Arabidopsis thaliana: one gene and its partner. The protein of the gene in region 1 interacts with the protein of each later gene in a pairwise test. Each region holds a gene or a part of one and is shown on either strand. Other genes may lie near its edges.

Region 1 (5,624 bases):
TCTTGAAGTTATGAATCGTTGATATATGATTTTATTTAGATATATATATATATATATATCGTAACATTTTCTATCGGTTTAATAGCACACTATTTTTATATAGATATGATGTTCCTTTTGGATAACTTAGAACATAACTTGTGATGCTGTATTAAAATTCTAATCCTGTAATGGAGAAGAGTTTGGATGCTAGAAACATACTTTATAAACATGTACAATTTTAATAAGAACAAATTGAATATTAACTGAAAACTCTAAAGATTCTCAAACGATTGATATATTGTTAAACTAATCACCCAAAAAGGAAGAGTCTTCTAAATTACAAGTTAATAAAACAAATGAAAAAAGTAAATTCACTCCCCCTAATCTTAAATCATATATGTGGTGAAGATTAATATAGGAACTAATGGACGAGTTTGGTTTCAACTTGCACAACAGGAAACTACTTCGCTTTGGCTTTATTCTCTTTGAAAATGATTATTGGTGTCTAATAGCTGTAGAATTTTTATTTTATTTTTTAACGACAAAGACATATGAAAAAATGAACATATTCAAATTGATATTCATAATGTGAAGTAAACGCAGAAAATTCAATGTACGATAACCTAACCACAAAAATTTCTGAAATTACTTTTTGTATATTATTGTGAAAAAAAATATCGATCGTGAATACAACGAACACATTATATTTCCAAATCCAAGACTTTAAAGAACCAACATTATATACAAACAAATCCCTCAATACTTATTTAGAATCTATCATAACACTAGGCTTTTTGACGACTTAACGTTTTGACTTTGAAATATCTTGGCTTTAGACTAGAATATCAAGAAATCCTCCTTGATGTTATATTGCATCTTCTCCAAATTCGGCTGAACCGCAAACTGAATCATCGGTGGTGGTCCGCAAGCCATGGCAAGGGCTGAGCCATCTAATCCATCAGGGATATGTTCTCGCATAATCGCCTCGGAAATAAACCCGGTACTGTATGCCCAACCTTCCTTAGCTGATTCCACTACGTACCAAACCTTTAACCGGTCCGGGTATTGCTCTGCCCAACCATCCAGTTCCTCCCTTAGGAGAATATCTTCCTCGGTCCGGTTAGCATAAATGACGTACATTTCAGTCTCATCCTCTGGATCCTTGAGAATGGCTTGGATAATTTGGTAAACCGGAGTTATTCCGGTTCCACCTGCCAACATTGCCAATTTATCAGCAAACTTTGGTTTACCGTGAACCGTGAAACTACCCTTGCCGAGATACTCAACGTGACCCAATGGTCCTTTAATCTCCAAAGTTGACCCTATAGGCAAAGAGTCTAGGTACTGAGACATGAGCCCGCCGTTAGGGAATCTTGGGTGGACACCGCCAAAGTAAATCTTGACCACGAGCTCGAAGTAGCCAACCACATCAACGGTGCTGCTTGGTGTGTAAGCTCTGAGGCAGAGCTTGTCATTGATGGTGGCGCAAAGGAAAATGTGCTTACCAACCGGTAAGCCTAGAACCATATCCTCAACCGGTAAAGCAAACCGGAATTTACGAACATCATGAGAAATGGAAGTCTTTTCGACGAGTTGAACCGGGACTTTAGCCCGGGGATTAACCAAAGCGAGGTTCCTAACCGGAGTCGCCTCTCCAATGGGAGCCAACAGCGAGAACACGGCGGATGAACCGTGAACCGAGTTGTTAGGCGAGGAAGAGTCAGAGGAATAACCAGTGGTGATGAGCTCACCGATACGGTAATCCTCAAGCATCTTCTTGGCTTTATCCGAGTGAATGGCTTCAAACTCCTCCGTACAATCCGTACCAGCATTGATCAAGATTGAATCCGAACCACCCGGGTGATCCATAAGGAATCGTGTACAATCATAGATATGTCCATGGACAATGATCCAGCAAGAGTCAGCCGAATTATGCTTCTTGACCTCGGACATCGAGTACATCTTCGCAGTTGTGTTCATAAACGGCGTCGAGACAGACTTCTTTAGACTAGGAGGCGCGTCAGCCGATTTTTCGAGGTGACGTTCCTTCGCCATCCATCCACCAGATTCATTACCAGGAAGCGTTGGATGCTCGAACACAATCCCAATCTCTCCCTTGTGTGGCTTGCACACGTTAGTCTTCACTCTAAACCAGCAGTTATTCATCATCCCCATGAGATTCCATATCATTTTCTCGGGCTGCGTGTTGAGAGTCTCGTCCCATGCACGAACAGCAATCTCTTTGGCACTAAGCAAGTCCAAAACCTCAACCTCAAGTGACCAAAAACACCAACACCAGAACTTCCCATACTTGTTTGGCTTCTCTTGATGGTCAAGTGCACATACGTTCCATGTCTCTCCACCATCTACCGTGACCTCCACACGGGTCACTTTTTTTCCACCTCCTGTTTTTTTTTGTATAAAGATTATTGTTACTATTAAATTAAATCATCCTATGAAATAACGTATTTATTAAATTAAAATGTTAAAAGGACAAGTACCGGAATATGCGTAACCCTTTAAAGTATAAGGTCTTTGGGTTGTGAAAGCGTTGATGGGAAGAATCTCCTCGTGACATGGCGTCGTAATCACGGAGTTTATGTTTAGCTCGTTGATTATGTACTCTGGCTTATACCACCAACCTAAAACAAAACCATTGAATTTGAATTTATGTAAGTCACAGAAGCTGACATCATCCACCAACATTAGTTTTTCATTTTTTAATATGATTTCTGTTTTTGTTTTTCTCCTATAGGTTCGGAGACTTTTTAAACATATCAATTAGTTCATCTTAATGAGATTTATTGAAGCAAAAAGATTTTATGTACCTTCTTCGTCGGCGAGTTCGGCGTCTACCAAAGAAGGTAAAACTCTGTTGTCCTTGAAATGGTAGAAATTGTCGGATTCTTTAGTTGTGACAATGATTCGTTTCAACCATTTAACCATCCGGCCACCAATGAAACCGGGGATGATGATCCGAACCGGAAAACCGTGGTCTGGTGTTAGATACTCTCCGTTTTGCATATAAGCCAAAATGATGTCTCTTGATGGATCCATGGCATATTCCTTCTTGATGCTCGTTCCGTATTTGGAACCAGCAGTTCCGGCACCGCCCGGAAGATCCTCCGACCCTTCGAAGCAGACGTTGAGAGCGCCGCCTTTTCGGCTAAAGATCCCGCAGCGACGCAGTACGTCGCAGAGAGGGACACCACGCCACACGGAGGTGGAAACTCCGGCGGATCCCCAGTTGAATCCCTTTGACTTCTTCACCATGTTCTGTTCCTTACGGCGGTTCCCCGCGCAGACTAGCGTCGCGGCGAACTCGCGGTAAGCAAACTCGGAGACGAGCTGGTCCATGGTGAATTTCATGGGCCGTTTGACGAATCCGGTCACCTCGACCGTCCATTCGGCCCATTGGGCTTTAGGGACGTGGCCGTGGTTACGAACGTAGTGCAACGGGACAGGGGTGATAAACCCGTGGTGCATTAAACGGTTAAGAGGCGCCTCGGAGTTGAAGGGATGTTTCCCTGTGAGACGTACCATGGAAGGGTTACGCTCGATCCAGCTATCAGCCGTGTATTCGTCCCTCGGGTCCAAAACGGACGGTTCAAGCTCGGCGTTGGATTTTCTTATCATCTCCTTGTAGTACACGGCGTTGCTGTTGTGTGTCTCGTTCTCGTCTTCGCTCGACACGTCTTCGTCATCGTCATGAACCTTGGCTGGTTTCAAGAACACGGTTTGGTTGGTGGTTTGGTTCTGGTGCGCCTTAGGGGAATCGGACCGGCCTGGAACGGGAGGTTTGTAAGAACGAACCACGCCGTTCAAACCTGGCTCGAGACGAGCGTATTGGCGATTATCTACAGAGGCCGCCATGTTGGAAAGTGTATAATCGTAAATAATGTAGAAAGCAGAGCCTTTTTCTCTCTCTATCTCTCTCTTGTGAGTGAGATGAGATCTGAGGACGAAAATGCATCGTTGGTGGAGATGAAGTTATATAGGAGAGAGCCTAGTGGTATGCTTTTAGGAAGTATCGTGCCGAATCACACGTATGGGACCATTTGTGACTTTTTAATTTTTTTCTTACACACTTACTATTAATTTTTTCTTATGACTTGACTTAATTAAATAAACCATCCATTTGTTTGACAAAAATAAACGATCATAGTTATTCAATAAGCTTAAAATGATCATTTTTGTCCCTATTTGTTATAAAACAAATGTGAATTGTTGGAGTAGTTTTGTAAATACTTTTAACGTCTCGGAAACATGTATAGATTTTTTTTTGTCAACTAAGAAATGATGACAATTGAATAATATATTATTATCTATCATTGGTTATTTCCTGTAATACAATATAAAAATGTGATCAAAACATTTTCCTTTTTATTTTAGTCGAATTTGTTTTACTAAAAAATATGTTTTCTTATTCGTGACACAAAGCCGTATTTATTTTTAATGGAAAAATAACGATAAAAGATGACAAAATAATTAAGAGCAATAAAATTAGTAATACAAAAATCGTGGTGATAATATTTTCATACTATTAATTTTAATAGTTTTTGTGATCGGTAACTATTAAAACCGTATATATATATATATATATATATATATATATATATATATATATATATATTTTGTAAACCGTATATTTTTTACCAGTAAATTAAAGAATTATCAATGTGTTAACATAGGAAGAACGTTCCTTTTATTATTGAGATTTGATAATCCTTTTACCCCTGGTTCTAGTTTAGAAGTTTATCAATGTTCTTATATCCTTCAGTTAAACATAGGAACAACGTTCCTTTTATTCTTGAGATTTGATAAATCAATTAAACATATTATCAGAAAAAATCTAATAATCATACAATATTTATTTTCTTATTAAACGTTATTTTCAGTAATATTTTCTTATTAAACTGTTTTTTAGTAATATTTTTTTTTGATAAAATTAACAGATGTGATTTTCAGCAATATTGATGAGATATTAATTATTGAGTAATCTAATTTTTTGTATACATTATTATAACCTAAAATAGTTCCTTGAATCATCTAAAAGTTTAAAATACCTATGTATGAATGTTGGAAAATGAAAAAAAAAAAAAAACTGAATGATGGAAAATGATCACGTTCATCTTTTTCCTTAAAATAACTACAAAATTATTTCTCTTTTTGATCAAGATGCAACATTACAGCCACCTATATATTAGTATTACTGTTATTATTGTTTTTCTTCGGAAAGAATGGCGGTGACTAATCAAAACCGACGGAGCCACGGGTTCAGCAGATTCAGTGGGTAAATCTTTCTTTATTTAAGACTTTTTTTTGTTGAAAATTTCATTGAGTAAATATTGAATATTGATTTTCTTGTGAACTTCTAATTTTGGGTAACCAATATACATCTTTATTTTTTTTATATATATATATATATATATACTTCTTCTGTTATAATATATAAGATATTTCACTAAAAAGACAAAGTTTAAGATATTAATTAATATTTTTACATTAAAAAACATATTTTGATATTTAATTAAAGAGAGTTTGCTAATGAATTTTTTACTGCAGAATAAAAATTTATCTTTTGAGATGTGAGATGAAGATTAAATCTGTGAAAGAAAAAAAAGTAAAAAAGACAGTTTAAG
Region 2 (5,409 bases), 2.7 Mb from region 1:
ACCAATAATTAGAACCAAAGTCAAGATTGAGCTTGCATATAGGCTATAGCAAACATCACACGAAATATAAAATCTTGATTTGGACTAACAAATATTTCACGACAAATTAAGAAACCATATCGCAACATAAAAGAGGCGGCTCACCTTTTGAACGAACGATACGGACACAAGAGGAGCGGATAAATCCGACGACCGGGAATCATCAATGGATTGATAGTTTTCGATGTCCAAGACAACGGTTTGTGTCTGAGTAGTAATATCAGAAATCTCAGCCATTGATGGAACTATGGTGACTTTCCTCCAAGTTTATGGTTTTCTCATCTAAAAACTCAAATGGTCAACTCTACTTTGTATTCGTTATAACTTATAAGCAAATAATAAAGTTGACTTTTTTATTCTATAGTCTATACCGCATGTTGATAAATTCTTTTAGGTTCATAGTTGACTTCTTTATCTTTGTCACAAAACACACGACATGGTTTACACGATAGTTATAGACTTATAATTATATGTAAATGTAATCAGCTTTGATTAGAAATGATATTTCAAAACACTTAATTTATGTATAGATGTTAAGCTAAGATGAACAAAAAGATAAGCAAAATGTGTGTAGTTTGTGTTGTTATGTGAAGGAGATTAATTAATTAATTAAAGATTTTGGTACTCATAATATTTCGTTTGCTTAGAGGTACTGTGTTTGTATTCTCTCTCTGTTCTGCTCCCACCATGTCTTTGCATGCACTTCCCCAAACCGTTCCCGGCTGTTGATTAAACCACAAAACCATAGATTCCGGTTAGTCACGGTATGATTACCAACTTTCAAAATGTATATGATTAGCAAATGCTTAGTTTTAGACGTTTTGTTATACCTGAATCTGACTCGACGTAGCTCTCTAGTCCCATCTGATAATTGTCTGATGGTAATGTAAACACCAGGCTCGTCCTCTTCAATCCACTCAGCTTGCATTTCACTAGCATTGCTCATGGAAGGTGGATCATCTCTGGAAGAAGTTGTGGTTCTTGCTGCATCCATCGGTGGTCCTCCATGATAACTTCCTGGTCCATAGTTGCTAGAGCCGCCATAAAAGTGATGCGGGACAGATCCTGGAGGTCTGAAATTGTGTCTTGGAGTCCAGTCTTTGCTTTCTCTTGCTGAATCCATCTTTGAGTACGTTGAATCTCTCTGTGACTGAAATATAAACTTGTGTTACCCTCTCTGGCTTAAAAGACAAGATTCATATAGATCCTGTTCTGAAGAAAGACTAAGGGATCTAAGGATATATGTGTTTACCTGATCGTCGGATCTTGCAGGCGTTTGGAGAGCTTGGCGGTTAAATCTCTGTACATTGTAAAGCTCAACGATCTTGTCATAGTTCTCACCCCACCACCGTTGAGCTTGCCACTTATCAAACATCTCTCGGCTTTCAAAACAAGACACAAGTAATTGTTAGTTTTTATCTCATGTTTCAGCGTTGAATGCCATGAAGATATAGAGATTGTTTTGAGTAGTTCAAATACCTGAAACGGATCCGTTTGAGATCATTTCCTCCAGTGGGAAGAGAAGCAAATGTGATATGAACACCAGGTTCTACTTGAGCCATCCACTCTTTTGGTCCATCATCATCCAGTACAACATCACAAGACTGTGCAGAGATAGATTCTCGATCATTTCCATATATTGAAGTGAACTTTGATTCTAACCGTCCAGCTGGATGATGAGAGGAGTTTGTGAAGTCCCAAGCAGGAGTTGAACCAGCACTTCCACCCATGAAAGGGTATGGAACACCTTCAGAGGCATTGTCATAATCCGGAAATGATCTATGTCCTTTCTTCAAGGGACTACTAGAGGAACCAGTGCATGGCTTGCATTGTTTATAAGCACCAGAGAATTTCAAAGCCATATCTTTAATCTGCGTAACATATGCACCCAAAAAGACCGATTACATTCAAAAACTTTATCTTGTTTATCAAAGTAATCCATTTAAACACACAAGAATGTTGAGTATAACGGTACACAAACATTATAGGTAGTTTCAAGCCTTTTTAAGTATGACTAAGTATACTTTTTAGCCCAATGAAGTAAAAAGAGGTCTACTATGATCATTATTAAAAGAACAACAATAAAGCTATGAGATCTAACATAATTAAACATATGTATTAAAAAAAGAAACTTCATATTGTCTTCTTAGCCTGCACCACAATCATAACGGCCCACTATTTCTTTTGTTTATGTTCTTTTGATTTACTAAAATAGTTACCCCCACCCCAAAAAACCCTTTCTTTATTTCCTTGTCTAGGTAAGAATCCACTAAAGCTTATTTGAGAGAAAGGTATTTAGATCAAGCTTCACTAGCAATATTCATCAAAGTATGACCCCAATATAAGCTTTAATGATAGTCCTGATAATTCAACTGGCTACATAATTCAAGGATATGTACAATGAGGGTTTAAATTGTTTCAGTAGTTGTTTTTGACTTTCATATGTCTAGTCACATAGAGAGGAAGCAAACACTGACATGAAAACTATTAAAGAGAGATTGGTGAAAGATTCCAAAAAATGAAGTGAAGTTACCTCATTGTAAGATCTCTGTCCTAAACAACAGTAACCTCTATATACTAATGACTTCAAACTCTATTCTTTGGTAAAGAAAACGAATAATAGTCAAATATATGGACCCTTTTTAAGTCCTCTAAGATACGTTAATTGGGGTTTGTGTCTTTGTTTGTTTCACGAGCAAGGCAATTAGAGAAAAGCAATAAAATAAAGTGAAAGAAAATAAAAGCAGAAGAAGGATCAACAAAGAAAGAAGAGAGAGACCTGAATGGTTAGGCTTTTGACGGCTTCTTTAGTATTGGGAGTGGTGCCTCCACGCGCTCCATGTTCGACTTCTTCACCTCCGTCTGCTTTGGTACAAGCTATGCAAGAAAACATTTTTGGTCTCTTTTTTGAGTTGTTCTCTGCCTTTTCAGACCTATAAAACCAGAGAGTACTCTATTAAACATCATCACAAACCAAACCTCACACTACTCTACTCAAATCAATAATAATACTCTACAAAACAAAACAAAAAGTAATTAAGAACGTTAAAGTAGAGCTCACTCTCACAATCCGACATAAAACACGGGTAAAGCTTATGTAATCGTAGTACACATGTAAACATTAGTTACAAGTTAGGAACATATAGCTAGAAAAGGGTATTTGGATTTCAATTGTCGTTTTCTTATAACGCAAAACACAAACACAAAAGGACAAAGTTGTTGACATATCTCTAGTCAGGAAACAACTACTCATGTTATAACAAAAAGAAAATGTAACTTGACTGGTTAGTAGTTTAACTCATAAAGAACCAATGCTAAATATTTCAAGTACTAAACCCATTTTTTAAAAATGGAAAGAAAGAAAAACAGTTTACATTACACCATGGTCGGATATTTGTGTTACCTATTTTAAGAGCGAATAAAAAAAGATGGGTATAAATTAGTGAAGAGATCTTGATAAAGACAAAAGTGTTGAAAGAGATATTAAAACTACATGTTACACTTTTCTTTATTAAAAAAAAAAAGATGTTATAACTAGAAAAGAAAGAGAGCTTGGGGATCAGAAAATAGGACCCAGTTAAGAAATACTAATATTTTAAAAATTAATTGTGCAAATCTAAACACCTGAAAATTGTATAAACACATTATTTACAAGTAATAATATATTCTAAAGACAATCATAATAGAGACAAATGCTTCTTTATTCTACTTTAAATAGTTTTTTTTTTTTGTTAAAGAATAACTTAATACTTTTGTGTGCAGCAAAAGATCCTAAACCCATCCCTCAACTAACAAAAGTTCGAAGAATAATTACATTTTTTTTGCAGTAGCCGAAATTTATGACATTTTAAAAAAAAATCAGATTATTGTGATGACTCAAGAGAATCAAATAATATGTTCTGATTCCGCGTGTTTAACATCGATCAAGACAAATACATAAGTAAAGAAGAAAACAATTGGAAACACTAGAAAAGCAAAACAAAATTGAAAAATATAACAAGAAAATGGAATCTTGACAGTCACGTGTTAAGAAAAAGAAAAAGAGATTGGTTTCTATTTTTAGGGTTTTGAGTGATGATGGACCAATCTAAAGCGTGTCGCGACATGAAAACTAAAACTATATCCAAAGTAAAAGATAAAATCGCAAAAACAATCACGAATCACGAAAAAAACTCTGTTTTGATATCAAAAGCAAAGGCAAAAACTGATACAAAAACCATTATTATTCTCACCTCAGAAAACGACTTCTTCTTTTTTTCTTAATCATTACAATCCAAAAAATAAAATTTTGATTAGTGGGTTTTGTTTATTACTCACTCACCTTTGTGTTTCGATATCTGAGAAATGAAGCGATATGATCTGAGATTATTGAGATACTAGATAGCTAGCTTCTGCTTTATTTTCCTCTTGAAGGCTTTGGTCTATTTAGGAAGCCGGCACGAGTGGGGTTAGTTCTGAGTCTACGTCTATAAATAGACCATCAATGGCTGCAGAGAAGATTAGTGTAGTAGTGTTACAGACAGTAATTGTAATAAATGTGTTACAAAAGGACGAAAACAATTTATGATACTACAATTTTGCTTTTAATGTTTTTGAGAAAAAATTCGGCGTTTTCTCAAAAAAGTAAAAGAACAATAAATACCGGGAAACTTTTGAATGAAAATGAAAATTTATATTAATATTGAAGAATGAATACACATTTTTCGGTGAAGTTTCTGATTTGGGTTTAGTGAGAAAATTTTGGTATTAATCAGAAAAAAATGACGAATCGAATCTGTCTAAATCAAATCAATCAAGTGACAAATGTTTGCAGAAAAAGGTAACGCAAAAAAAAAAAAAAAAATCTCTGAATCTTTTTTTTTCCGGGAAAAAATAGTATTGAAAAGATCGATCGGAAAAAAACCAGTGACTAATCGTTTCTACAGAAGAACAGAAACAGAGCAACGAATCTCTCTGTTTTCTTATTTTCCCGAGAAAAATCTTCAAAAAAGAGAATTTTTATAAACTCACCTGAAATGTCTTCTTCTTCGAATCTGATTATGTAATAAACTTCACTGAGAAAATCTCCAAACTCAAAAACCCATAGAAATCTTCATTTTCCGGAAGAGAAATTTGGAAAAAATGAGAACAGAGACGAAACCGGGTCGAGAAGTCGGGTTATTGGGTGACCCGAGAACTGAAAGGAGCTCCGAGAGTTTTAACTAGACGAAGAGAAGAGAGACAAGAGTTACGAAGAGTATATATATATACGTGGAGGAAAGAGAATGTTTAACGGCGTTTAATGTAATAAAAAAGAACCGTGAGTTTTGACGGAGGTTTATTATTTTGGTGTGCCGAGGAAAAATATTGGTCTCGAGAAGAGACGGCAAA

Evidence for each region. The genes of interacting proteins can lie anywhere in the genome.
Region 2: the proteins of NIA2 (region 1) and BRX interact in binary tests that used the Arabidopsis thaliana proteins (3 or more experiments, as listed by UniProt).

What each region holds. Positions count from the first base shown.
Region 1 is NC_003070.9:14,156,848-14,162,471, reverse strand, and holds NIA2 (nitrate reductase 2), read right to left. Parts: upstream 4,021-5,624; 5' UTR 3,856-4,020; coding exon 2,811-3,855; intron 2,625-2,810; coding exon 2,484-2,624; intron 2,388-2,483; coding exon 820-2,387; 3' UTR 534-819; downstream 1-533. UniProt on the Arabidopsis thaliana protein: Nitrate reductase is a key enzyme involved in the first step of nitrate assimilation in plants, fungi and bacteria.
Region 2 is NC_003070.9:11,445,327-11,450,735, reverse strand, and holds BRX (DZC (Disease resistance/zinc finger/chromosome condensation-like region) domain containing protein), read right to left. Parts: upstream 3,450-5,409; 5' UTR 3,416-3,449; coding exon 3,414-3,415; intron 2,973-3,413; coding exon 2,819-2,972; intron 1,911-2,818; coding exon 1,519-1,910; intron 1,422-1,518; coding exon 1,292-1,421; intron 1,190-1,291; coding exon 870-1,189; intron 762-869; coding exon 683-761; 3' UTR 544-682; downstream 1-543. Other genes in the region: NIP3;1 (NOD26-like intrinsic protein 3;1), read right to left, coding at 145-276. UniProt on the Arabidopsis thaliana protein: Acts as a regulator of cell proliferation and elongation in the root and shoot. Regulates roots architecture and primary root protophloem differentiation.